Rattus norvegicus: one gene and its partners. The protein of the gene in region 4 interacts with the protein of the main gene of each other region in a pairwise test. Links are inferred from orthologs where the notes say so. Each region holds a gene or a part of one and is shown on either strand. Other genes may lie near its edges.

Region 1 (3,500 bases), on a different chromosome or scaffold from region 4:
TGGATTAGTGGTATGAACATTTTCAATCTCTTTCTCTTTTTCTCTCTGTCTCTGTCTCTGTCTTTCTGTTTCTCTGTCTCTGTCGTCCCCCTCCCCCCCCATGTGTGTCTGTGTGTCTGTCTGTGTCTGTGTATCTGTCTCTGTACCATGCAAGTCAGGAAAACTGTTGATTCTTGTCTTCCATTTTGTTGGAGACACAATTTCTTGCTCAGTGCAGTGTGTGCAAGGCTCTGTGGCCTGTGAGCTCTAGAAGATTCTTTTGCCTTCATCTCGCAGTTTGCAGTAGAAGTGCTGCCATTAGAGACACTTGCCACCATGTCCAGGTTTCTGAGATTCAAACTTAAGCCTTTTTTTAAAAAAAAAGATTTATTTATATGGCTACACTGTCGCTATCTTCAGACACACCAGAAGAGGGCATCAGATCCCATTACAGACGGTTGTGAGCCACCATGGTTGCTGGGATTTGAACTTAGGACCTCTGGAAGAGCAGTCAGTGCTGTTAACCGCTGAACCGCCCCTCCACCCCAAGCCTTTCTGTTGTAGGCACATGGTGTGAGTGAAGGGCAGCACCACTGTGTGCTCCATGGGAGAAGCTCAGTCATCAGGCTTCATCAAGTTTACCCCCTGCTTTTAAATTTGTTTTTATTTCTGATTGCGTGCATGTCTGTGTATGAGTTCAGTGCTTACAGAGGCCAGAAGAGGGCACTGGATGCCCTGGAACAGGAATGGCAGGCAGTTATTAGCCTGGTGTGGATACTGGGAACTGAGAGAGTGGTAAACATTCTAAGCATCACGCCCCCCTTTAACTCCTCACCACTGTTGGAGATGGGGTCTCTGTGTGCAGCCCTGGCTGTCCTGGAGCTTTCTGTGTACGGTGTAGACCAGGCTGGCCTTGAATGCTCAGAGCTCCTCCTGCCTCTGAGTGCTGGGATTGAGGTCTGTGTTATGCCCCTCCCTTCTTTTCAAGCAGGATGTCAAGTTGCTCAAGCTAGCCTCACACTCATAAATTTGAGGCTGGCCTTGAACTTCTGATCCTCCTGCCTCTACCTACTGATATCATAGGTATATGGTGTGGCATGCTTTGCGCCTCATTTCCTCTCTACAATGTTGGCAGTGTTGGCTTCATGTTAATGTTGAAAACATGCTAGTTTACTCCATAAGGGTCTTAGGGGAACAGACTGTGCCAGCAGACAGACAGCACATGGGAAGACTGTCTCTGACCTTTGCTTTGTCTCCTAGGAGGGTGACCATGGAAGACCTTGGGGAGAACACCACAGTCCTGTCCACCCTGAGATCTCTCAACAACTTCATTTCTCAGCGAATGGAGGGAGCATCAGGCTTGGATGTGTCCACATCTGCCTCAGGGTCCCTACAGAAGCAGTATGAACAGAACATGCAGGTGAGCAGCCCTCTGGGTCTCTGGGTGGGCCAAATCAGCTTGGAGGCTAGATGAGTGACCTGCAGACACTTGTAGGCATTTATCAACCTGAGCAGTAGCTGGAGACCAGGGCCTATCTTGACCATGCTGGTTAGAGGCTGCCTTAGTTGTCTCTGTGGAAACAGAACTCAGGTTCTCACACTTGGGAGACATGGACTATACCAACAGTGTGATTCATTTATTCAGTTTATCTATCTATCTATCTATCTATCTATCTATCTATCTATCTATCTATCCATCCATCCATCCATCCATCCGTCCCTCTGTATCTATCTATCTATCTATCTATCTATCTATCTATCTATCTATCTATCTATCTATCTATCCATCCATCCATCCATCCATCCGTCCCTCTGTATCTATCTATCTATCTATCTATCTATCTATCTATCCCTCTGTATCTATCTATCTATCTATCTATCTATCTATCTATCTATCCATCCATCCATCCCTCTGTCTCTGTCTGTCTGTCTGTCTGTCTGCCTGCCTGCCTGCCTGCCTGCCTGCCTGCCTGCCTGCCTGCCTGCCTGCCTGCCTGCCTGCCTGCCTACCTGCCTACCTACCTACCTACCTACCTACCTATTGAGATATGTAGCCCTGCTGTCCTGGAACTCACTCTGTAGACCTGGCTGGCCTCAAACTTACCAAGATCTGCCTGCCTCTGTTTCCTGAGTGTTGACATAAAAGGTGGGTGCCACCATACCCATAGAGGCCAGGCAGAAGTTTACTGTGATTTGTAGTCCTAGTTCACTCTGTTCTAATTCCCAGGAATGCTCCTAGGGATACAGTTCCAAAGGGGCCAGGGCTCCTGAATGAAGGGCTTCAGGCTCCAGAAGTGGCAGCCATAGCTCCAGTTGGGTTAAGGCTTCTGGGCCCTAGGAGAGTGATGTTCCTGCCTTGCCTGGTCCTCAGCACACAATGACCACACCAGGCTGCTCCCAGGCTTCTTTGCTCACCTCTTTCCTGTCCCCCTTCCGCTCTGGCTGCAGCTGTTCTGTGATGAGTTGGGAGCATTTGTTCTGGAGTCCTGGGGATGCTCATGCACCGCCCAGCAGACTGGACAGTGCTTGCAACATTGGTTTGCTGACTGTTCGTCCCAGCACCGCCTGCCCTCAGCTTGTTTTGGTGGCAAGCGTTGTCTTTCATCCTGTGAGTCTTTTATAACTGTCCTTTGTGGTTAAATCATCCGTCTTCCTCCCAGTCCTTCTTGGTAGCACTGGGTATTGAACCCGGGTTTTGCACACACTACACAATCATCTACCATTGAGGTGCATCTTTGCCTTTATTTTATTTGAAAACATTTTTTAAATTTCTTTTACTTTATGTGAGTTAGTGCTCCTGCATGCATGTGTGAATTTCTGTCATTTTTGGGTCTTCTCTAATAACAGTGAGTGCCTTTACTATTGAATCACCTCTCCAGCTCCTACATCCTTGGCTTGAAGCCACTATTTTCTGAAGTGAACTATCAATAGATGGTAATTGTGTCTGAGTACTAGTGAAATAAGAAGATGGGTACTTTGTTTTTAAAAAATACTTGCTCTTGAAAAACCAAAAATCCATCCCTCCTTCTCTCCCTCCTTCCACACAGGAGGCCGGCCTCCATCCCTGGGACCTTGGCTACATGCGGCAGACCCTCCATCCCTCTAGTGCATCTCCAGGACCAGCCTTACTTTTTATTTTGATACAGATTTCATTAAATTGTTCAGGTTGGCCTTGAACTTACTCTGTCCTAGGCTGGTCTGGAACTGTGATCCTCTTTGTGGGTTCTTATTTGCCTTATTTGACATGGGAACTGAACCCTCTCTTTTCTCTTTGGGTACCAACTGCTCAGCTGGAGGAGAGAGCAGAGCAGATCCGTTCAAAGTCCTACCTCATCCAGGTGGAGCGGGAGAAGATGCAGATGGAGCTGAGCCACAAGAGGGCTCGGGTGGAGCTGGAGAGAGCGGCCAGCACCAATGCCAGGAACTATGAGGTGGGTCCAGCCAGCCCCAGAAGGCCAAGGGCTGTGTGCAGCACTTGTCAGACACCAAACTGGGGCCCAGCTGCTGTGGTCAGAGGCATT
Region 2 (3,500 bases), on a different chromosome or scaffold from region 4:
GATCCCTTGAGACTAGAATTCCAGACATGTACGAGTTCTCATATGGTGCGCTGGGAATCAAACCAGGTACCAAGTAAGAGAAGCAAGTTTCCTTAACCACTGAGCTTTAGGCAATTATTACGGAAGGAGATTGCCAGAGGTAGGAATGTTAGGACAGGAAGAATATGTATTTATAAAGTGAGACATGCTTATAATATATTAATGGAAGATAAATACACATACACACACACACACACACACACACATATATATATATATATCTCCACTCTAAGACTAGGTAGGGGGGCTGGGGATTTAGCTCAGTGGTAGAGCGCTTACCTAGGAAGCACAAGGCCCTGGGTTCGGTCCCCAGCTCCGAAAAAAAGAACCAAAAAAAAAAAGACTAGGTAGAACTAGGTATGAACATATCATTTAGGGATATCTATCTATCTATCTATCTATCTATCTATCTATCTATCTATCTATCTCAGTGTAATACTTGTTCCTGGCAAGAATTATTGAAAAATTTTAAGTTTTCCAGGCAATCTTTGCCAAAGATTTGATTTTTAGTAATGTGTATGTATATTCATGTATGTAGGTTTATGTGCTTGTGAGCAGGTCTCCAGAGTCATTGGAAACCTCCAGGGCTAGAGTTACAGGTGGTTTTGCACTACCCTATGTACGCTGAGAACTATTTTTTAGGCCTGGCGGGATGGCTCAGAGGTTGGGAGTACTTGCTATTCTTGCAGAGAACGTGGGTTCTATTCCCAGCACCCATATGGTGGCTCCCAATTTCCTATAACTCTAGGTTCAGGGGATGGAACGCCTTCTTCTGGCCTCCACGGGCACTTTAACACAAGTTGTACATATACACATAAATAAGTCTTAAAGAAAAAATTAAAATTAATTTTCCATGTATGAGTGCTTTGCCTATATCTATGTGTATGTAGCACGTGTGAGCCTGTACCTGTGAGTCAGAGGGAAGCATTGGATCCCTTAGAACGGGAGTCATGGATGATGTGAGCCACTATGTAGTTAGAAACCAAACCTGTACCCTCTCCTAACTGCTAAGACATCTCTCTGTTCCCAGTCTGTATTTTTATCTTTGTAATTTGAAATTATCTAGAAAGTACAGTAAATGCTACCTTTTGAAAATAATTGAACATATTTTCTTCTAGATTGCTTTGTCTAATTGATTACTATGAATGTAAACTTAGAAAACATCATATACAAAGGTATAAATATAATTTTTTATTTTTTTTATATTTATTTTTATTATTATAAATTGTTTCTGTAGCTTTTGAGACTTTATGGTATGGAAGTCTTTATATCATTATAAAGTTCTTTTCCAAATATAATTATTTTTTATTCTATGAGAATTCGATATCTGTATACAGTGTATTTCAAAAATATTTACCATCTGTTTCTCCCCCTCCCCCCAAATTCTGGATTCCTCACCACATCTTCCTCATAGCTTCATGTTGAAATTCTTTTTAATAAAAGTCTGCAAGATAGTATTTTACTGTTTAGGTTAAAATGTACTGTATCTACATGAAACAACAGAAGTGTATTTCCTCTTATATTGTATTAGCATCGTGGTATATCCACTGGATAAAAGTACATTCATGAAGTATATGCACATACAGTACATTGACTGTGGGGCAGAGCAGAACATAGTTATATACATTTAAATACTAAAGATAGAATGTCAGTGAAAATCCAGGCATGTAGCTGGGCGTGGAAGTTCATCTGTAATCTGAGCTCTCTGTAGGCTGAGATAGCCAAGGACTGAGGATAGCCACAAGTTTGAAGCCAGCCTAAGCTACATAGTGAATCACCAGCTGGCTTGAGACTTGCCGCGATAGTCCCGTGGGAAGATTACATTAATGCCTATGTAAGTAAACTTAAGGCATAGTGGTATATACTGTCATTGTGAGGCAGAGGGATGGTGTATGGGGGCAAAGGGAGAGTGGTGAGCGGTAAGGAAGCAGGAGGCTCTGCACACAGATGGCAGTTCTCAAAGACGGATGGGATGAAGGATTTTTCAGTTAGGTGAATATACCAGCAGGAAAATGAACACATTTAGGCATGTTCGGTAACCGCAGAGGTTTGGGACACAGGGTAAGTGCGGTGTGCTGTGTACTGTGTATTGGTATCCACTTACACTCTACAGGGTGTTTTTAAAAAGACCAGGGAATGTTCCATTTGTATTTTGCTTGTTCATTCAAGTATTTTTCATGCCCCCCTTGTGTCCCATGACAAAGTTTTTGGTTCTCACACATTCTAAGTGAAGAGTAGTAAACAGACTACTCTAAGACTAGGTAGTTGCTGCGATGTGGTACTATTCTCTGTACAACAAGTAGGAATTTGGGATTCCCATGTTTAAGTTACTCAGCCCTTACTAAATTGGCTTCAGTTTTGCTAGCTGCAAGTTCTCTTTAAGGATAGAGTTCCACAAGATGCACTGTGTTTGTCTTCCCACAGGCAGTGTGGGGAGGATGACAGCCAGTCAGAAGGAAAAGACTATCTAAACCTGGGCGTCTCACCAACCTATAAAGGCCTTCTGACGGTATGGAGACCAGCAACTGACAAATACCTTTTCATAAAGCAAAATAATCCCTAGGAGAGTTACTTATTTTACTGTGAAATACATTGCAGTCGTTACAGAAGCAACTTGAGAAATCCAATTCCAAGATCGACGTGCTGTTGGGTGAAAAGCTGAACCTCCAAAAAGATCTGGAAAACAGGTGAGGAAAACAATAAGAATGTTAGACCAATCATTCCTTCCCCCTTACTCTAAAACTGCACCTGAGTGAGTACCTGACCCTCCTGTGCTCCTGTTGACCAGTAGTATTTCATGGTGAATGGTGAACGGAATAAGAATCCTTCGGCAAGCAAGGGAAATGCGAAAATCGGAATCCATGTTGAGGATAAAATTGGCTAAGAACTTTGAGGAGATTCAGGGTTCCGTTTTCTGTTTGTGTTTATATGTGGGTGTAAGTGTGTGTGCAGTTGAGTGTGCACATTTGTGCTCCTGTGTGTGGAAACTAGAGGTCAGCATCAAGGGGCACTGCTGAGTTGTCTACCTTGTTTTATGAGACAGGATCGCTCCGTGAGAACTGCTGGCTGCTGGGAGTTTGCTAATTAGTCTAGGCTGCCCTGCCAATGAGCCCTAGGGATCTCCTGTCTTTGCCACCACCCTCCCAGTGCTGGGATTGTAAGTGTGCACTCTCGTGCGTCTTAGTGGACTCTTGGGTTTGAACTCAGGTCTTCATGTTTGCATGCCAAGCACTTTACCAGACGTAGCTGTCTCTCTAAGCCCAGGTTCAGTCTTTGTTTAGTTTTTCTTTTAAATTAGCTATAGTGAGGGCTGGAAAACTGCTGTGCAAGCATGTGAGAACTTGAGTTCAGATACAGAACTCTTGTGAAAAGGCAAATTGTAGCAGTGTGTATCTGTAACTGCAGCATTGGGTGAAGGTGTAAAGACTGGCAGATTCCTGGAGCTCATTGGCTGGCCAGTC
Region 3 (4,071 bases), on a different chromosome or scaffold from region 4:
GAGGCTGGAGGGCGGTATACTATCAGGAGAGAGAGGGGCAAAGATAGAGAGGTGAACTCTGTACCATACGGACGGCAGCCCCGTGTCATCTTTCTCCCTATCGACCTGAGAATCTAAGGACCTCGTCCCTCCTCATATTTTAACCAACCTGTGTCCCGTAAGTTTGAACCAGAAGAGGGTCTAGGGATACCTTAAAAATGCCAATCCAGTCGCTGGCGCTGGGCGTGGTGCCCGGAGGCAGAGTGTAGTGACATTCCACCTTGGTGTTGGGGACGTAGGTCCGGGCCACGTTCAGGAAGCTGACTCCACCCCGGGATGGTGCCCGGCTTAGTGATGATTCTTCCATCGTGTCCTCAAGATGCCGGATGCCCTAGGAAAGAAAGGGTTGATAGACTTAAGTCTTTCCACTGCTTCCTTCCCTTGGCCCGAGTGCACCTACTCATGGTCCCTGTCACTACACAGGTTCCCAGACCCTAAGGTTGTGGGAATTTTTAATTCCTGGGGCGTAGGTGTCGCCTTTCGAGTCAACTTCCTACCCTGTCGGGGTTGTACCCTCTTTGGTTTACGGGCCCCTCCCTCGCTTGTGTAATTTCTAATCCTTTTCATTGCCCCACTGACCCAGTATCTCGGTCTCTGCCCATCTCTGTCTCTCCCTTTCATCTCTCAACATCCTTGGGAATCCCAGATTCTCTCAGTTTCCCCATGCGATCCCCTCTACCCTCTGGCTCTAGAACTCAAAATCCAATGGAAGTGTGGGCCTCTCAGTTTGAGCAGGCCTCCCTTACACATGCCTAAGCTTGCTGAACCTACTCTACCCGGGTAAGAGTTCCAAAACAATAACTCATCACTGGTGATGATGATGATGAGTCTCCAGAGGGGGGATATGGTTTGGGGGCCAACAAGCTAATCCCGGCTGCTCTGCTCTCGCTGCACCTATGTGTGAATTGTTTATCCCAGTTAACCCTAGGGAAGCAGAAGGAGGCACACTCTGGCTTTCCTCCAAGAACTAGAGAAGGAGAGAGAGGATAATAGGATAGACAGGTTCTGTCCCTCAGCTTCTATTCCAGGAAATCAAAAATTGTGGAGGTGGTAGTTCAAGGGTGGAGTGAAATATTCCGCAGGAAGGTGGTGGTGTGGAGAGATGGAATGTGGGGGCTTGGAGCCAGGAAAGCCCCACCCTTAGGCAGGGAACAGGTTGGAAACAGGGTAAGAGGCCCTGAGAAGGGGAAATGTGCATCAGTGTTGAGAAAAGGCAGAGAGTTCAACAAGGAACATTTTTTCCCCCACATCTTGCCAGGAGCAGAGCTAGAAACCTAGTGATCTGTTTGAGTGCTAAGCCAGCCCTATTAACCTGTCTCCATTCTTGTTGGCTCCCCTTAGCCTCAATTCTAAGGGTCCAAATCCTGCCCTATGCTTGGGTTAGTGGCAGAAGATACAGAGATAAAATGGAGTTAGCTAGGGAGAATTAATTGGAAAATAGATAATAATAATAATAATAATAATAATAATAATAATAACAACAACAACAATCAAGAGTTCTGGGGGGTTGGATATCTGGGGGGATAAAAGGTGCCTGCCACCAACTCACATGGTGGGAGGAGAAAACTGACTTCCCCAAGTTGTGCTCTGACTTCTGTACACCTACCTACCTTGTGCGCACCCACACACAGAAATTAAAAAAAATAATCAAAACAGTACTACTCAGAGATGAATAAGAACAAAGTATGATGTACATGTTTGAGATGTCATAATGAAACTCACTGTATATTAACTCAAAAAAAAAAAAAATACACTTCAATCCAGAGCCGAGAGGCAGCCCTCTTCCCTCTAGCCCACACATCTGCTTCCTGTGTCAGCTGCAGCAGCCGATGTGTCCAATCAGCCATCACCACTCGACATATGCACGCCCCCAAACATCACAAACCCACACCAGGCTGAGGCAGTGGGGGAGGAACTTTAAAAGAAATTAGACACTCCGTGGAGATGGAAAGATGGGCCAGCAATGCAATAGGAAACAATTTCTCCGTCGAAAAGAGACTGGACTGGAGCTATTATTTCAATGTATTATTTCTATCTCTGAAAAATCCCCCATTACAGCTACTCCGTGTTTTCTTCAAATATAACTCTCCTTAGGGTAGAGTGAGATCTGTCTCCAAAGTTCTAACGTTGAGAACCCCGAACCTCTCCTTCCCCACAAAGAAAATCCGTAACAGCTGCAGACATTCTCCAGAACTGAAAGACCTGGGCACCTAAAGTGTATGTGGTCAGATGCTGATGTTCAAATGTTCTCTGTGTGTGTGTGTGAGAGAGAGAGTGTGTGTGTCCTCTTCACTGTAGGGCCCTCAGTGTTTTAGCGTTCCACAAGTTGGAAGTTTCCCCCTCAGGGATTCAGCGTAGTAAAGGCCTTCGGATCTTTGGTTTTGGGTGAGAGAGAGAAGGTCTGTGAGGGCAAAGACTTGCCTGGAGAAGATTAAGCAAATATTTCAGTCCCTTCAAGCTTCCATAAACGGATCGAGCTTTACAAGAAAGTGAGGACAACGCGGGCTACCCCCAGAAGGCCCCCTTGAAACCAACAAACCCGAAACGTGAAGGAGGCTTCCTCAGCGCGTAAAGTATTAAAACCTAAACGCTCCTACCGTCCTCTTCTACAGTTCTCTCGGATTAGCCTTTCGCAGGCTGAGCAGAGGGCTGACCATCCCCGCGTAAGCCCACCCTCAGTTAGGCCAAGTTTCTTACCCCACAGACGGATCAGCTGTTCCCCTCACCTTTCACCAACAACAAAAACAGCACTCCGACTACTGGAGGGGAGGGGAAGAGTGACGCCAGACCTTCTGGGGCCTGTGGTTTTTCTGTAATCCGACGCCGCTCAATTTTCTGCCTCTAGAACTACACCTCCCAGGAGGCTGTGCAAGAGGGGCGGGAAAGAGGGCGGGGGCGGTGGTGGACTCAGCGTCGCATCCCGGGAGTTGTAGTTCTCACTTCCTTGGCAGTCCAGGAGGGTGTGGCTTCCAAAGGACTTCACGGCCCATGATTCCTCAAGAAAGGGCATGCTGATTTAGTGGTGGCTGCTGGTTCGTAGCATGCTTAGTGGGAGAGTTGATGGCTTTAACGCGTTCTGCACAGCTCTTTTCGGTGGGGCGGAACGCTTCCAGCACAGCCTTCTTGTTCGCCTTTACAAGATAGGTCGTAGTGTTATCTCTACTTACAAAAGAAGAAACTTGCTTAAGGAACCCTCTAGTGTCAGGGCTATGAAACTGTAAAACTCTGCCAGGCCTGTTCCAAGCTATGAGCTACAGTCACCATGTTGTGGGTTGGGAAACTCTCAGTGGTGGTAGTGGTTACTTATTTTTAGCTTGCTCCGACTTCAGGGTTGACAGATCTTGTAAAAAAAGTCTCAGAGCTTACTGTTTGGTTCCAGCTTGAGAAGATTTCCATGCCAAGGAATCCGATAACACACACACACACACACACACACACACACACACACACACACACATTGTTGCAAGTGCTCCCACTGGAGTGTTTTCTGCGGCTAGGATTAGGGTACATTGCTTGAAGTGGTGGCCTGGCTGTGGAATGAGAAGCATGTGGTTGAAAAGAAAGCTTGGCAGGACCTGCCACAGCTCACAACAAGCTACTTAGAGACGTTTATTTGCCCAAGCCTTTTAACTGGCTTAAATTAATTAACAACTTGTATTGTTGCTATAGGGTTTTTTTTGTTGTTGTTTTTTTTTTTTTTAATAGGTGAAAGATTCACACTGTTCCCACATCCCAAGTCACTTAAGGACTTGGATGGTCCTCATCGTTGTTGGTGGCCTCCAACCGTGGAAGAGTTCATAGTTCTTTTCCCTGTCTCTATATTAATGGATTAAGTGAGATACAGTGCCACACACCTGTAATTCTAGCAATTGAAAATTCAGAGGCTGGGGGCTCCTGGAGATTTCAATTCGGACTCAGGTTACACAGGAGACCCTGTCTCACAAATAAATAATTACATTGGAAAGATGGCTGTCCTCTTCCTGGCTACGTCCATTCTAATTATCTGCTGCAGTAGGCTCTGGCACCCCTTTC
Region 4 (4,162 bases):
TAGCTCTACCTAAAGACCCAGCTATACCACTCCTGGGAATATATCCAAAAGATGCTCCAACATGGACACATGTTCTACTATGTTCATAGCAGCCATATTTATAATAGCTAGAAACTGAAAACAACCAAGATGTCCCTCAACAGAGGATGGATACAGAAAATTGGGTACCTTACACAATGGAATACTCAGCAATTAAATACAATGACTTCATGAAATTCTTAAGTAAAATGATGGAACTAGAAAATATCATCCCGCGTGAAGAACACAGAACCAAAAGGACATACATGGTATGTACCCACTGATAAGTGGATACTACCCCAAAAACTCAGAATACCCACGATACAACTCACAGATCATAAGCAGCTTAACAAGAAGGAAGGCCATAGTGTGGACGTGTCAAACTCACTTAGAAAGGGGAACAAACTATAGGAAGCAGAGGGAAGGAGGGTCCTGGGTGGGAAAGGGAGGGGGAGGAAAGAAGGAAGGGACAGAGGCAGGATCAGGTATGGGAAGAGACAGGAGAGAAGTCCACAGGTCTAGGAGAAGAAATAGAAAGAAGCAGCAGTGGAGGTGCTTGGAGAACCCCTGGAAAGTCCCTGACACCAGGAATTCGGGAGGTTCCCAGCACCCAATGGGGATGACATTAGCCAAAATACCCAACAGCAGGGAGATAGAACTTGAAGAGACCACCTTCAGTAGATAAACATGGCCCCCATTGGAGGGATGGTGCCACCACCCCCACCCCCAATCTAACAATTTTTAACCCAGAATTGTCCCTATCTGAAGAAAATGAAGGGACAAAAAAAGAGGCTAAAGGAAAGGTCATCCAGAGATCTCCCCATCGCAGACATCAAACCCTATGACACTATTGCTGATGTGATGCCAAAGATGTCTTGAAGACAGGAACCTGGTATGGCTCTCCTCTGAAAGGCTCTGCCAGCACCTGACTACGACAGATGCAGATACTCACAGCTAACCACTGGAGTGAGCCCTGGGGTCCCAGTGGAAGAGTTAGGGGTTAAGGAGCTGAAAGGAATTACAGGAAGTACAACAGTATCAATTAACCAGACCCCTCAGAGCTCCCATGGATTAAACCACCAACTAAAGAGTATACATTGGCCAGTCCACGGCTCCCACTACATATGTAGCAGAGGACTGCCTGATATAGCATCAGTGGGAGGGGAGTCGCTTGGTCCTGTAAAGGTCTGATGCCCCAAAGAAGGGGGATGCTAGAGGGGTGAGGCAGGGGTGAATGGGTGGGAAAAACTCTTAGAGGCAAATAGGAGGGGAAGGGGTGGAAGGGTTCATGGAAGGGAGACTGAGAAGGGAGATAACATTTGAAGTGTAAACAAAATGTTTTTTAAAAAGCTATCAATAGCTTTTCTTTGAGACTATCAATCTTCAGTAAATTCGGGTACAAATCACATACATTATCCAGTCTAAGACTAGCCTATGTCCTTTCTCCCTGCCTCAAATACAACTTGGAGTCACTTTAACCTTCATAGTCCCTGAGGCTAGTTCTTCAGACTTTCGCAAAAGTTCTAAAGCTGACTTTTTTCCATGCCTTCAAAATAGACGATATGTGTACCCCAATACAACTAAGAAAAACATTATCCTCTTAAAAAGAAAAAAATATATAGCTAAATTCTAGTCAGCAGTCAGCAACAGTAATACAGTGCAAGAAGTTTCTTTTGCTTTCTCATCCATCTCTCAAATTCCAAAGCTGACTTTGGCCTTTATCAAACTACATGTAGATTTGTATAAAATTCTTCTCAGCTTACAAAGAGTTTCCTCCAAAAACTGCTTGAAGTATCAGTCATGATGAGCATTCATTATAACTATTTTGAAATCAGCCAATAATCACTATGTTTGATCTGACCAAGACTAACTGCTCACCTATACCCTTAAAATGTGATTGAAGCCATTACTCATTCTTCCTATTTTCTACTCTTTATATGCATTTAAACGTATTTAAAATTCTTTTATCATAAAAAAAAAACATAGTCAAGGAACATTCTGCTGTTCAACTACAAATTCTTTTTCATTGTAACAATCAGGTCAGATAATTCAATAATTTGCTTCTTCCGTTTTTATAAATTCCATACATTTCAATGTTAATGAGAATTGTTCCCAAACTTGGGGGGGGGGCACATATTCAGTCTCTTATGCTAAACAGCGTTTCAATCAGTAAAAGCTGGCCTAAGCCTAAGAGTTGAAAGGAAATGTTTTGGGGAATCACCAATGTATTCAAATATTTCCTACTTCCAATAAGCCGGAGCAATGACTCACACTTCGACTTAATTGGTAAGAGTCCTCAGATGTGACATCGGACACAGAAACTGAGCAATCCAGACGGCAGAAATGTCAAGAATAAGTGGCTTAACAGCTAAGGGAACTAATATCAATCTCTCTGCAGAGAGAAACAATAAATGTAGGCGGTTAGAGCATTTAGGAGACAACTGCATTGGGAAAGAGAGACCAAAATCAGACCAGGTGAAATATCGAAGTGACGAGAGGAGTGGGGAAATAACTTCCAGGATTCTCAAGTACTACAACTTTAAATAACATTCCAAGACCCTAAGATTTAAAAAACGAAAGCATTTCAAGAACTAATATATTCTGGGAAAGCGCCTACCTAGCATTCAGATGCCCTCCTTACAACCCCCAGTTTCAAAAAGAAAGAGAAAATTCTCCAAAGCAGGGGTACCTGGCGTAACACCTCGGCCCTGGCAATACGGGTCTGTTCTTTTCTTTCTTCAATACTGCTAGCACTTTCAAATCTTAAACCGAACGCCGCCATAGTTATTGCTGATGTAAAGCAAGGAAGCTGTCAGGAAAACTGGGTTTACGACTGTCGTATTTAGGAGAAAAAAAAAAAAAACCGGATTTTACGACTGTCGTAATTTAGAAACCGTTTACGACTGTCGTAATTTGGAAAACAAACACGGATTTCAAAATAGTAGTGAAAGGTGCGCTACTATGCCAACAGAGCAGGCGCAGATCTGAATGTTTCTCCTGTAGCTGAAACTTGATAGCCAGTTGGAGAGTTGACCTTTCAGATGTACTGGATTCGCTAAGCCCTGAATTAATATCAACATGCATTATTATGCACCCTGCGCTATACTAACTCATTTCTCACTAGGACTCTTAAAAACACCCCAGTAAACTAGAAGTTATACCTAAACCTCCCCATTCTTGTCTGACTTTACTGTTTTGGAGAGCCAGGCTGAAGTGAGCCTGATCAGAAAGTTAGAACACGGGGAAAAGAAAAAAAAAAAATTGCCCTTAAGATTCAGTAGTTTTCATTGATGGGTGACTTGAGAGATTATTCAGTGACTTAGGGTGCTAACTGTCCTTCCAAAGGACCTAAGGCCGGAACTCACTGGGATCATCAAAAGCATCTCTAGCTCCATTTCCAGGAAATCCATCTCTCTCTTCTGGCCTTCACGGGCACTGCAACTACATGATGCATTTATGTACAGGGAGAAATTATATATATATATATATATATATATATATATAATATTATATGTATAATATTATATAATATTATATTATAATATATATGCTCCATCAGTGTAAATATAACATATATTATATAATTTGTCTGTGTGTGTGTGTGTGTGTGTGTGTGTGTGTATGTGTGTGTGTGTGTTACACATATATTATTTGGAGGTTGAGACTTGGTGTAGCACAAGCCTGGTGAAGGAAGAGTCCTCATCACTCAAAGGAAAGATGCCTTGGTTGTGAGAATATCTGTTGTGAGAATGACCTCTGTTGTATTAATTGAATCTTACATAATTAAGTCTCTATATCAAAATATTAGTCCTAATCTGTGCTTCATTTGTTTGATCCACTAGGATAGTAACAGAAAAAAATTAAATAAGCCATTTCTCTCTTCTTTTGCCCTTGCCAACTCAGCAGAATTAAAAATGACAAACTTCAGTGGTTACAGACCCTTTCCGTCCCCCCAAAAAGTGCTACTCCTTTATTTGATTCATTATGTTTGGGAGGCAGCACTCCAATTTGTGCATCTGAAGCAAGAGTAACAAGCCAATTCAGAGTTGATAGGAAGGGCTGCTGTACCTGCCCACTCAATAACCAAAGGCACTCAAAAGGGCTTGCCATGAAATATTGTTAGCCATTCTGCTAGTTTTCAAAA
Region 5 (2,645 bases), on a different chromosome or scaffold from region 4:
AAAAAAAAGCAATTCGGAGTCGCCGCAGGTGTGTACCCACGCATCTGAATACACACCCGCAGCGGTGCAAGGAGGGTTTTCGAGTATTCGAAAAACGGAGCTGTTTGTGGCTGACCTAAAGTTCCGCTGCGGAACTCCGTCTCTCAGGAACAATTGGAGCTGTTTCTCTTTTGCTTCTAACTATACTAAAGCATTTTGTTTTTGTTTTTGTGTTTTGCTTTTGGACACCAGACTCTGCTGCTTACGCCTTCCTAAGCGCCAATACCAGGACGGTCTCACACGAGGGTCAGAGAGGACTCTGCCTAAGATGCAGTATGCAGCTACTGAGCATGCGCACAGGGCAGCCACCAGCACCGGCCAGCACTCCCTCGGACGGACAGAAGCTTGAGCTCCTGTGGGTGGCAGGGTGATGTCATCTAGGTGTGGTACTGACTCTGGCTGGAGAGGAGGGTCCAGAGGAGGAGCCCCTGTACACCGGAGATGTGGGGGAGAGTTTAATCGGGCTGGTCGGGTCCCCAGTCTGGAGCTTCCAAAGTAGTTCCTCGTTGGTTCGGCTCAGTCTCTTCTTTTCCTGGGTCTCTTTCTCCACGTATTCCTGGAGATTAGCATTTTCCTCCGACAGTTGTCTGCGTGGGGGAGAATGGTAGTTAGCAGCGGGAACCATTGGGCGTACTAGTGACAGAGGCTGATAGGCGGAGGCCGGGGGCAATTCCCCAGGCTCGCAGGTCTCTCTGCTGGGTTAGGGGGCAGTTGTGCACAGAGCAAAGAAAGGCTAGAGGCTGGAGTAGGAAGTGGGGGAGATGGTAGGTCACGTGGGCTGCTGCTACAGCCCATAGGAGGGGTTGCTATGGAGATTGTCTACGGCTGTGGTCAGGGTACTGACTAACAGCGCCAATCAGCCGGGAATATTTTCCCGTTACCTCCAGCCCTGAGTACGTGCCTCTGCGATTGAAGTCATTAGCTCGGCTGTAGAGTCGGTCTGTCTACATGTCTGTCTGCTGGACCACAAGTCCTAGAGGGCAGGGGTCAAGACTCTGTTATGTTCTTGGCTGGCGTTCAGCATGGCATCCAGAAAAATAGATGTTTGATCACCGTCGGTTGATAACGGGGGTCGGGGGTGGGGGAGAGAAAGCAATCGTGTGTGTGTGTGTGTGTGTGTGTGTGTGTGTGTGTGTGTGTGTGTGTGATGTCATGGTGCTTAAATTGCTGGCTTTGCTGCGTGTTTTTGGTAATTTTTGTACTTTATGTGTGTGTTTTGGCTGCGTGCATGCCCGAGAACCATTGCATGCAATGCCTGTGGAGGCCAGAAGAGGGCGCGGGTCTCCTGGAACTGTTAACTCTAACAGATAGCTGTGTGCTGTCAGGTAGGTGCGGGGAATCAAACTTGGGTCTTCTGGAAGAGCAGCCAGTGCTCTTAACCACGGAGTCACCTGTCTATTTCAACTTGTGTTTTAGAGAGTGATCGCTGCTTTCAGGAATCGGCCAGAGTAAGTACAAATACATTTTACAACTGGATGGGCTAAAGTCCCAGAAAGGTACTCTGGGCTGACGCCTGCACTTGCTGTCTGAGGAAAGGTGGCTGGGTATGTGTGGGCGTGTGAACAAGTGGCATGCCAGTGTATAAGCATGCACGTGCATCAGTGTATGTGTAAGTGTGAGCACGCGTGAATGGATATATACATGAGTGTGTGCACATAAGCATGGGTGTACACAGGATAACATATCATAGCCACACCGAGGAGTCTGGTCCAACAGAATGGGAAAAGGCGAAGGCCTCCATCTCACTCGGGCGACTTAGCCTTGCCCAGTATAATAACCTGCAGCCAGCCACAGACGCCACAGACGTTTTCACTGCACTCTGAGCTGGGGTCAAGAGTGACCCAATCCTTCCTTGAAAGCAGGAGCCTATAGGGAAGAGCTGACCCGATTTTCTGGAATATTGGGGTTACCTAGCCATGGTTCTCTTTAGCTGGGGACTTTAGCTGATGCTCTTCTCCTAATCTCTGGGATGAAATCTTCCTGCTCTGGGGCCCCTGCTTCCTGGGCTTGAGGTCCTCACTCACTTCTGGGGAACGGGGCCGGCTGGGATGCAGAGCTGGGATGTGTACCATGGGGTCACGGCCATCTGCTTTTCTTCTGATCAACTGAGAGGCACCAGGAGATTGTTCAGACTGGATACTGGGACATGCGGATGTTCCGGGAAAGCCACTTTGAGAAGGACGTAGTGAGAAACTGGGCTCACCCACCTGGTAACAACCGTGTTCTGGTCGATCCTCGCTTTGAGGTCTTCGTTCTGCTGCTGGAGTACCTGGATCTTTTCTTCCAGGATGATGTTCTTTTCCACCTAGGAAAGAGACACCAGTGAAGAAACTCCCACTGGATCAGTGGCCTTGGCTTCTGCACTTTGGAGGGTTTCCAGGAACAGGACTTTGCTAACCGCTCTGTGCAAAGCTTTTGTGGGCGGGAAAATCAGGGGAGATGGATGAGGGACCAGCACTGCTCTTTTCAGAAAGACAGAACAGAAAATGCCAGAGTGTGCTCTGTTGGTAGTAAAAAGCACTGTGGTACATAGTTTAGACTCTCTCTCTCTCTCTCTCTCTCTCTCTCTCTCTCTCTCTGTGTGTGTGAGAGAGAGAGAGAGAGAG
Region 6 (4,276 bases), on a different chromosome or scaffold from region 4:
AGAGTTGTGGACTGGGCTCCTACAAGTGAGAGCCATTGAAGATGGTGTTGGAAAGAGAAAAGTAAACTGTGGGTTGAGCAGCAGCCTTTTCTAGTCTACCAAGAACCTCAGAACAGAGACCCAGAATAAATCATAACCTTCACATTTAACACTACAGATAAACACAGAAAAGAGAACCAAGCACGAAATCTACACATACATAAAAAAGGAATTGATCCAGGTTGCTAAAGTTGACATTAGAAAATCTAAAAATACATATGCCTTTAATCCCAGCACTTGGGAGGCAGAGGCAGGAGGATCCCTGAGTTTAAGGGTAACCTGGTCTACAGGGGGAGTTCCAGAACAGCAAGGTTTACACAGAGAAACCCTGTCTCGAAAAACCAAAAGCAGAAATGTCTTCTAGATTTGGCAACCTTGGAAGCAGAGGAGAGGTTGAGAGCTTTTGCCAAGCACAAGCTATAGGTGGAGATAACACAGGAGCACACCAACATGTACAAAGTATTGTTTGTTTTCTGAAGAAAAGGACTCTGGACTATTTCCACCCAAGACAAAGAGCACTGGGAGAAGCAGTACAAAGGCCCCTCTACAAGCTCAGCGCACTTACCTGGATGGGGCATCCCACCTGGTGGGAATGGATGAGGATGTGAATGTCCATGACCAGGATGTCCAGCCCCTGGAGTTCCTGCTGCTGGGGGACCATGTCCTCCAGCCCCAGGTGGCATAGGTGGTGGGGGCATTGCTGGGGGTATCCCAGGAGGAAGGGCCCCAGGAGGTGGCACTGGAGGTGGGAACGAACCAGGAGGTGGCATTCCTGTTTAAGAAATGAAGGACAATTAGTGGTATCGGACAGAATGTCTTTCCCAGCATGCTACACTCCAGCTTCCTAAGGACATGCACCAACTTCTTCCCTCCCACCAGCATCCTCACTCCTCCCTCACTGCCCACTGACTTCACAGCTTACTCTTCCAGGGCTTCCTCTGCCCCCTGACCTCCCTCCCATGGGCCTCACTGGCATAGTCTGAACTACAAGCTGTACCTGGTGGAGGAAGCCCAGAACCCAGGGATGAAACCACAGGATTGGGGGCAGAGGGTGGAGGGGGTGCATCGGCAAACAGCTGATGAGGGCGGTCAGCCTGAGACAGCGGGTTCTGGGCTGCCAGAAGTCGTTCAGCTGCTGAGCCATGTCGTTCACCCTTAGAGTCCTTCTTGAAGGCATAAGACACAGTGATAGGGCGGTTACACAGGTACTGCCCATTCATGGCCTCAATTGCTGCATCTGAAGCATCAAATGAAGCAAAATTAATGAAGGCGTAACCCTTGGAGTTGCCTGTGTCAGGGTCCCGCATAATCTTGGGGGTCTGTAAGATGACTCCAAAGGCGCTAAAAGTATCGTAAAGCAACTTCTCATCAATTTCTGGGTCCAGATTTCCAATGAAAATGTTGGCTCCTACATCCAGGTTTTTGTTGTGAGCCGAGGCTTTGTTCACCCGTATTGGCTTCCCATAGAGTTTGATCATGTTCATAATCTTAATGGCATAGTCAGCATCTTCCTCACTCAAGAATTCAACAAAGCCATAGCCTAGGAAACCAATGAAAAAAGACCACTCAGGTGAAGAGATTCAAAATCAAACATTAACTCACCAGTTTGCAAACACAAAGAACAAAGCAGGTAAGGGCTGGGTGGGGGCTCATGCTTCTAATGCCACCATGCTGGAGCAGAGGTGGAGCCCTGAGTTTGAGGCCAGCCTGGTCTACAGAGCATGTTCCAGGACAGCCAAGGACTACACAGAGAACCACTGTCTTGAAAATAAAACAATAAAAAGAACATGACAGAAGAATAATCTTACTTCACTTGAGAATGGTTCCAGTAACTAGTGCTAAGAGAAACTATTCCAAAAACTGAACTGAAGCTTAAGGGGGAAAAGAACCTTTAGGTTGCTCATTCCAAAGTAGTTGTGACTGGAGTTGTGACTCTTCAGGGGCCGTTAACGCTATACAGGGTTAATTCTCGACATGTACTCACCTTGGTGCTGGCCAGTGACTCTATCCTTTGGCATGTGGGTGTTGACCACTGGCCCTGCCTGGAGAAAGAGCTCCCATAGCAGTGGCTCGCTCACTTTCTCGTCTAGACCTCCCACGTACACCGTGGCATCTAAAGGGAAGAAGCAGGAGGTAAGGAGAGGGTCAAGAGTGAAAAGTAAAATAAAAACCAAAAACGTTAACTAAAGACCCGAAATTCCCTCAGCTTCCACAGTCTAGAAAAATCCGCTACGTCTAATTTGGCATTCTTGCTGATCCTGTATTTCCGGAGAATTTTGTCTTCTTGGTAGAGGAGTATTTAAAGAGAATGGATCTAGAAGCATCACTCTTCATAGGCCTGGGCCTCCACTTGGCCTCGAGGCGAGCCAGGCGCCCAGAGGTCGGTCTCACATCAGAGGGATCTCGTCTCCCACCCAAGCAGAAATGCTTCTGGCATTAATCAGCTCTTCACTTCCCTGCCCCTATCTTGGTCTCTTTTCTCCCAATTACCCTGATTCCGTTCGGAGATCGGTCCGGCAGCCATGGCGAAAGGGCTCCCGCCGTCTCTAAGCAGCAGCACCGCCCCCCTGACCTCAGTTTCTACTTCCACTTCCGGGCCAAGGCTCACATTGGGCGGGGCCGGCGACAAGGGAGGAGCCGGAAGCGATCGCGGCCATCTTAGGAGTCAGATTCGTGTCGGACAGAAGGGAAAGGTGCTCTGGAGCTGCCGCAGCAATCGGGGTGGAACAGAAGTGAATCAGCCGGTCTTGATACAGTTAACTAAAGCCCTGAATGCTTCCAGACTGTTAGGGCATCACACTGCACCCCAAGCGCAAATTGAAATGCTAAACCAAGCTTTGTATGTTCTGTGACGCAGAGACGTGTGCTAGGCAAAGTCCCGCCATATCCAGGGCCAGGACTGCCTTTGAAAACAGCCTATTTTTAATTCGGTCCACAACGCTCGTGCAGATTCGCCCTCGGCCTAGGCTTGAGCTCGAGGTATTTTGGTTTCCCGTAAGTGTCAGAGCTCCTCCAATCTTGGGAAATTTGAGACCGAGGGTGCTCACAGGCAGGTATTGAAGCTTTAAGAGGCAGGTGTGGATCTCTGAGCTAAAGGCTAGCCAGGTCTACAGAACGAGATCCAGGACAGCCATGGCCTCACAGAAAAATCTGTCTCGGAAAAAAAAAAAAAAAAATTCCAGGCTAGCCTGATATACAGAGAGACCTTGTCTCAAAAAAGGTGTGTGTGCGTATGTGTGTGTGGGGCGGGGGGGCTTTCCCAATATTTCATGTGCATTCTGCCCAGCCCTGCCAATCCTTTATTTCCTTACAATAATAAGTGTCCTTTTCTCAGTTCACACTACCCCACAACCACCACCGCTTTGCTGAGATCTTCATTCAATACAAGAAAATACCAGCAATGTGTAGAAATACTGTGCTTTAATGAACTCCTTAAATAGAAATGCTGCTACAAAAATATACAGTGGGAGGAGGAGGTGTCTCCCTTATTCACCTCATTCCCACAGAAGACTAAGAAAAGATTTCAATGTAGTGTTGAGGGGTTGAGAATGAGGTCTCTAGGACACCTTGCTGGGGCTGATGAAAAGGGTCTCTGATATCATACTTTTGACAACCATCCAAATGGCACAGAATTGCCTCGAAAAAAGGCAATCATTCTGAATTGGTTTTGTTTCTTATTTTTCAAATCACAAGAAACAAAAATAGCTCCAGGAACCAAACGAGACAGGAGAGCTGGAGGTTGGTAGCACCATCTACAGAAACTGGCCTACTAAGTGAGCTTTACAGACTGGAATACCAAACCCGAAGCACCAAGGTCAGACATAAACATCAGCAGAAACAAACCCCCGCCCTCTGCCCTGCCTTTGAGATGGCTAGCAGTTTCAGCAGATCTGAGAAAGGATAGTATTTGGATCTCTTTTCTTGCTGTGGTCCTCCGGAGATATTCTTGGTGTCCATTTTCTTAATAGTTCCTGAAGATGAGACAGCTCATCTTGAAGGCCAGAGATTGTGAGAGCTGAAGAGCCTATCTGGGGAGAGGCAAAGGAAGGTGCAAAGAGAGATTGTCACAGGTCTAGTTCCTTTTTCTTTTTTCTTTTTCTTTTTTTCTCAGGTTTGTCTGTTTTTATTTTCAAGACTGGGGTTTCTCTGTGTAGCCCTGGCTATCCTAGAACTAACTCTGTAGACCAGGCTGGTCTCAAACTCAGAGACCCAGTTGCTCCTGCCTCTTGAGAGCTAG
Region 7 (3,500 bases), on a different chromosome or scaffold from region 4:
CACACCCTTGATCCTAGCATTTGAGAGGCAAAGGCAGGTGGATCTCAATGAGTCTGAGGCCAACTTGGGCCAAAACAGAAAGCAAGCAAGCAAACAACAAAACAAACCAAAAGCCTCAAGTCAGCTCAACGGTCACTGAGTGCTTACACTTTCTCTCCACAGTCAGCCATCTCTGGAAACAGGTTTCCTCCGACAGAATGTGCATGCAGCTGGCAAATGTGCTAGGATAGCCATGGACACTGTGCAGCTCCCTTTCAAACAACAGCACCTCGTCTACCAGATGACAGAAGAGACTATCGTCATAGAGCAGGCAAGGGATATCAGACGCCAGCTTCTCAAGGATGAGCATCACGAGGCCGCGAGAAAACTCAAGCTGAAAGAGAGGCAAGGAGGCATGAGGGAGGGACTGTGCCCAGGGGGCCTCCAGGAAGCCGGAGTGCACGGGGCTCAGCCTCTTACCCTTGCGTTCACTGCAGAACCCACTTTATCCAGTATTGGCTGGATCTTCTCATCCAGAAAGTGAGAATGGCTTCCAATCCACAGAAGTACCTGAGCGAAGTACCATTCAGGCTAAGAGGAAGGGAAAATGGGGTTAGTTCTGCATTCACTCTACGATGACGGGAAAGTCTAATTAAATGCACACAGTTATGGACAGACATAAAAATTAACTGAAAACTCCTATATGTAAGAAAGCAATTCTTACCCTGCACTTCAAACTCACAAAAGACTTCATAATCAAATGTTTCCCAGTATACTTCCACAACAAATGCTAATAATGTGGCCTAACTCAGTAAACTCGTAATTTAAAATGCCACATTGGGGTTAGGTGTGGTTTTGAAGTATAACGTTTGCCTGGCTATAAAAAGCCTTGTTTGAATCCCAGCATCACAGAAAAGAGGAAGAGAAGGCTTAAGAACAATACTGAGGAAAAGTCCCTCACACACGCAAGAAGGAGCATCTGGGGGGCTGGGGATTTAGCTCAGTGGTAGAGGCTTGCCTAGGAAGTGAAAGGCCCTGGGTTCGGTCCCCAGCTCCGAAAAAAAGAGCCAAAAAAAAAAAAAAAGAGGAGCATCTGCCCAGCACACGCCCTCATCCCAGAGCAAGATAAAACAAGCCACACCAGCAGGATGGCCCCGGGGTAAAGGCGCCTGCCAGCAAACCTGCCAACCTGAGCTTGATCCCTGGAACCAACGTGGGGGAGGGAGAGCGCTAACTCCCACAGATGTTGCTCTGACCTACACACAAACTTTGTAAAGCCCTCTAAGCCTAGCGTGATGAGGTATTACTAACAACTGATATTTCTGAAATAGCATTCCAAAAAGAAGGTTCTGAGATAGATCTCACGTAGCCCAAGCTAGCCTCAAAAATCTCTATGTTACTGAGGGTGACGGGCTTCAGGTCTTGTCACCTCTACTTTCCCAGTGCCAGGATTTCACACATGACATCAATATGCGCATCACACGTGACGTATGTGGTACTGGGGACCAACATGGGGCTTCACGTGAGCGGGACAAACGCTCTGTTGAGACTGACCTGCTTCCCCAAACACTTTTTTTTTCTTTTCTTTTTTTGTTTGGAGCTGAGGACTGAACCCAGGGCCTTGTGCTTGCTAGGCAAGTGCTCTACACTGAGCTAAATCCCCAACTCCTCCCCACCCCCAACTACTTTTTAAACAAGACTTTCTGCTGCTTCCTCTTTCCAAAAGGTAAAGTAAGGAAAAGAGTCTAGTGGCCTAATTACTAATACATCTACGCTGTAAACTGGGTGTGATGTACAAAGGAAACAGGCAGAGCATTTCAAAGTATTACACTTTTCTCTGTGCATATATGCATGCTAGAATGGATGTGTCTGGGTGGGTGGACAAGTGTCACTGTGGCAATCAGATGACACCTTTGGGAGTTACTTTTCTCTTGTGACCACATGGGTCCTAGGGATCACACTCAAACTTGGAGGTGGTTTCCCCCACTGGGCCATGTCACTCACTCACCCCACATAAAGATTTTACTTTGTCTTTAGAGAGGATTCTGCACACATATAAGTTTTTCTAGACAACAACTTAAAACTCAGTGAACATGAACAGATGAACCGATGAGCTCCAGGTTCAGTAGAGACTTTGTCTCAAAATAAGGGAGAGAGTGACTGAAAAGGGTATCTGGCATTGACCTCTGGGTACACACACACATACACACGTGCATACACACGCACACCAGACACACCACACATACCACACACACACAAACACACCACACTTACATATACACACATAACACACACATATACATACACACCACACACATACAACACACACATATATACACACACATATACACACATACCACATACAACACACATACACAAACACATACCACACACACATATACACACAACACATACACACATACATACCATACACACCACACACACCACACACACAAAACACACACAACATATACACACACATTCACAACACACACAACACACACACATATACAGACACACATACCACACACATGTGCATGTGTGTTTCCTGTTTTTTATAGCTAGGGCTCTAACTAAGGGATAGAGCACTTGCCTTGAACAGGCAAGCCCTGGCTTCAGTCCCTAGCACTGACTGGCAAATCCCCAAGTGTTTTCAGTTGGGGATAAACAAGGGTGGCAGCATCTAATCCCAAGGACTGTCTCAGTGACAGTATACTAAATTCATTAGGATCACTCTTTCAAAATGAGCCAATCCAATCCAGAATTTTCTTACATTTTCTAAATGTTTAGTTTATGCTCTGTCTCATTGACTACTGAGGACTAAATGACTGTGCAGTCCCAACAACAGTCTAAACAAAACAGAAGACCCACTGCCACTAAGTTCACTCATATGACCTGAAAAATATCTGCTGTGGTCTTGCTCTTAATTCAGAACACTTGGTGAGCCCAGCTCCATACACTGCCTCGGCTGCAGCAACCATCAAGAACAAAGTGCTCTCTCAGATCAAGTGTTGGTAACGACTTCCTTTAACTGACTTATTCCGTCACTCCTTGCCATGGTATATGTCCTCCGTAGCTGAGTCACCATGGCACCTGTGCTCTCTCCTGTGGAACTCACTTCTTTCTTTCTGTTTATCTATGTGCAGGAGCGGTCTGTGCAGTGAGGTCCAGGTGGCTGTAAAGCCTGCACACACGAACACAACGTGATGACGTCCCAAAGACGGCACAGATACTGGCAACCTGTCAACCTGAGCCCCAGTCACGCCTACAGAGTGCAGCGAGGAGGCAGGAACCGACAGAGAAGGGAAAACAGAAACGTGAAGACAGACAGGCCTTGAGGCTAATCATGTAAAAGTCCACAGGCAACACTCACTACTAATGAACACTCAGGGTAGGATGGACACTGTGGGACCCCAGCCCTTGGGAGGCAGATGCAGAGGGAGCGGAGTCTGACTCAGCCGGGGCTCTCCTCAGACCCTGTCTCACAAACATAACCACGGAGGAGAGAGTGAAGCACACTC

Evidence for each region.
Region 1: the proteins of Cwf19l2 (region 4) and Mad1l1 interact in binary tests that used the Homo sapiens proteins (3 or more experiments, as listed by UniProt). The two-hybrid records come from large-scale screens. The link is inferred for Rattus norvegicus from reciprocal best matches to the Homo sapiens genes CWF19L2 and MAD1L1.
Region 2: the proteins of Cwf19l2 (region 4) and Cep70 interact in binary tests that used the Homo sapiens proteins (3 or more experiments, as listed by UniProt). The link is inferred for Rattus norvegicus from reciprocal best matches to the Homo sapiens genes CWF19L2 and CEP70.
Region 3: the proteins of Cwf19l2 (region 4) and Calcoco1 interact in binary tests that used the Homo sapiens proteins (3 or more experiments, as listed by UniProt). The two-hybrid records come from large-scale screens. The link is inferred for Rattus norvegicus from reciprocal best matches to the Homo sapiens genes CWF19L2 and CALCOCO1.
Region 5: the proteins of Cwf19l2 (region 4) and Mtus2 interact in binary tests that used the Homo sapiens proteins (3 or more experiments, as listed by UniProt). The two-hybrid records come from large-scale screens. The link is inferred for Rattus norvegicus from reciprocal best matches to the Homo sapiens genes CWF19L2 and MTUS2.
Region 6: the proteins of Cwf19l2 (region 4) and Sf3b4 interact in binary tests that used the Homo sapiens proteins (3 or more experiments, as listed by UniProt). The two-hybrid records come from large-scale screens. The link is inferred for Rattus norvegicus from reciprocal best matches to the Homo sapiens genes CWF19L2 and SF3B4.
Region 7: the proteins of Cwf19l2 (region 4) and Rint1 interact in binary tests that used the Homo sapiens proteins (3 or more experiments, as listed by UniProt). The two-hybrid records come from large-scale screens. The link is inferred for Rattus norvegicus from reciprocal best matches to the Homo sapiens genes CWF19L2 and RINT1.

Annotation. Positions count from the first base shown.
Region 1 is NC_086030.1:19,441,282-19,444,781, forward strand, and holds part of Mad1l1 (mitotic spindle assembly checkpoint protein MAD1), read left to right. Parts: intron 1-1,239; coding exon of another isoform or gene 1,240-1,249; coding exon 1,250-1,399; intron 1,400-3,269; coding exon 3,270-3,410; intron 3,411-3,500. UniProt on the Homo sapiens protein: Component of the spindle-assembly checkpoint that prevents the onset of anaphase until all chromosomes are properly aligned at the metaphase plate.
Region 2 is NC_086026.1:108,717,207-108,720,706, forward strand, and holds part of Cep70 (centrosomal protein of 70 kDa), read left to right. Parts: exon of another isoform or gene 1-277; intron 278-386; exon of another isoform or gene 387-1,157; coding exon of another isoform or gene 1,158-1,214; exon of another isoform or gene 1,215-1,501; intron 1,502-2,463; coding exon 2,464-2,548; intron 2,549-2,637; coding exon 2,638-2,726; intron 2,727-3,500.
Region 3 is NC_086025.1:135,725,129-135,729,199, forward strand, and holds the start of Calcoco1 (calcium-binding and coiled-coil domain-containing protein 1), read right to left. Parts: upstream 2,801-4,071; 5' UTR 2,737-2,800; exon of another isoform or gene 2,579-2,736; intron 371-2,578; 5' UTR 347-370; coding exon 191-346; intron 1-190. UniProt on the Homo sapiens protein: Functions as a coactivator for aryl hydrocarbon and nuclear receptors (NR). Recruited to promoters through its contact with the N-terminal basic helix-loop-helix-Per-Arnt-Sim (PAS) domain of transcription factors or coactivators, such as NCOA2.
Region 4 is NC_086024.1:6,099,779-6,103,940, forward strand, and holds the start of Cwf19l2 (CWF19-like protein 2), read right to left. Parts: upstream 2,801-4,162; coding exon 2,708-2,800; intron 1-2,707.
Region 5 is NC_086030.1:11,744,859-11,747,503, forward strand, and holds part of Mtus2 (microtubule-associated tumor suppressor candidate 2), read right to left. Parts: intron 2,345-2,645; coding exon 2,247-2,344; intron 627-2,246; coding exon 413-626; 3' UTR 1-412. UniProt on the Homo sapiens protein: Binds microtubules. Together with MAPRE1 may target the microtubule depolymerase KIF2C to the plus-end of microtubules. May regulate the dynamics of microtubules at their growing distal tip.
Region 6 is NC_086020.1:186,420,191-186,424,466, reverse strand, and holds the start of Sf3b4 (splicing factor 3B subunit 4), read right to left. Parts: upstream 2,801-4,276; 5' UTR 2,564-2,800; coding exon 2,530-2,563; intron 2,153-2,529; coding exon 2,024-2,152; intron 1,580-2,023; coding exon 1,037-1,579; intron 812-1,036; coding exon 605-811; intron 1-604. Other genes in the region: Mtmr11 (myotubularin-related protein 11), read right to left, coding at 3,921-4,067. UniProt on the Homo sapiens protein: Component of the 17S U2 SnRNP complex of the spliceosome, a large ribonucleoprotein complex that removes introns from transcribed pre-mRNAs.
Region 7 is NC_086022.1:12,227,618-12,231,117, forward strand, and holds part of Rint1 (RAD50-interacting protein 1), read right to left. Parts: intron 571-3,500; coding exon 460-570; intron 374-459; coding exon 148-373; intron 1-147. UniProt on the Homo sapiens protein: Involved in regulation of membrane traffic between the Golgi and the endoplasmic reticulum (ER); the function is proposed to depend on its association in the NRZ complex which is believed to play a role in SNARE assembly at the ER.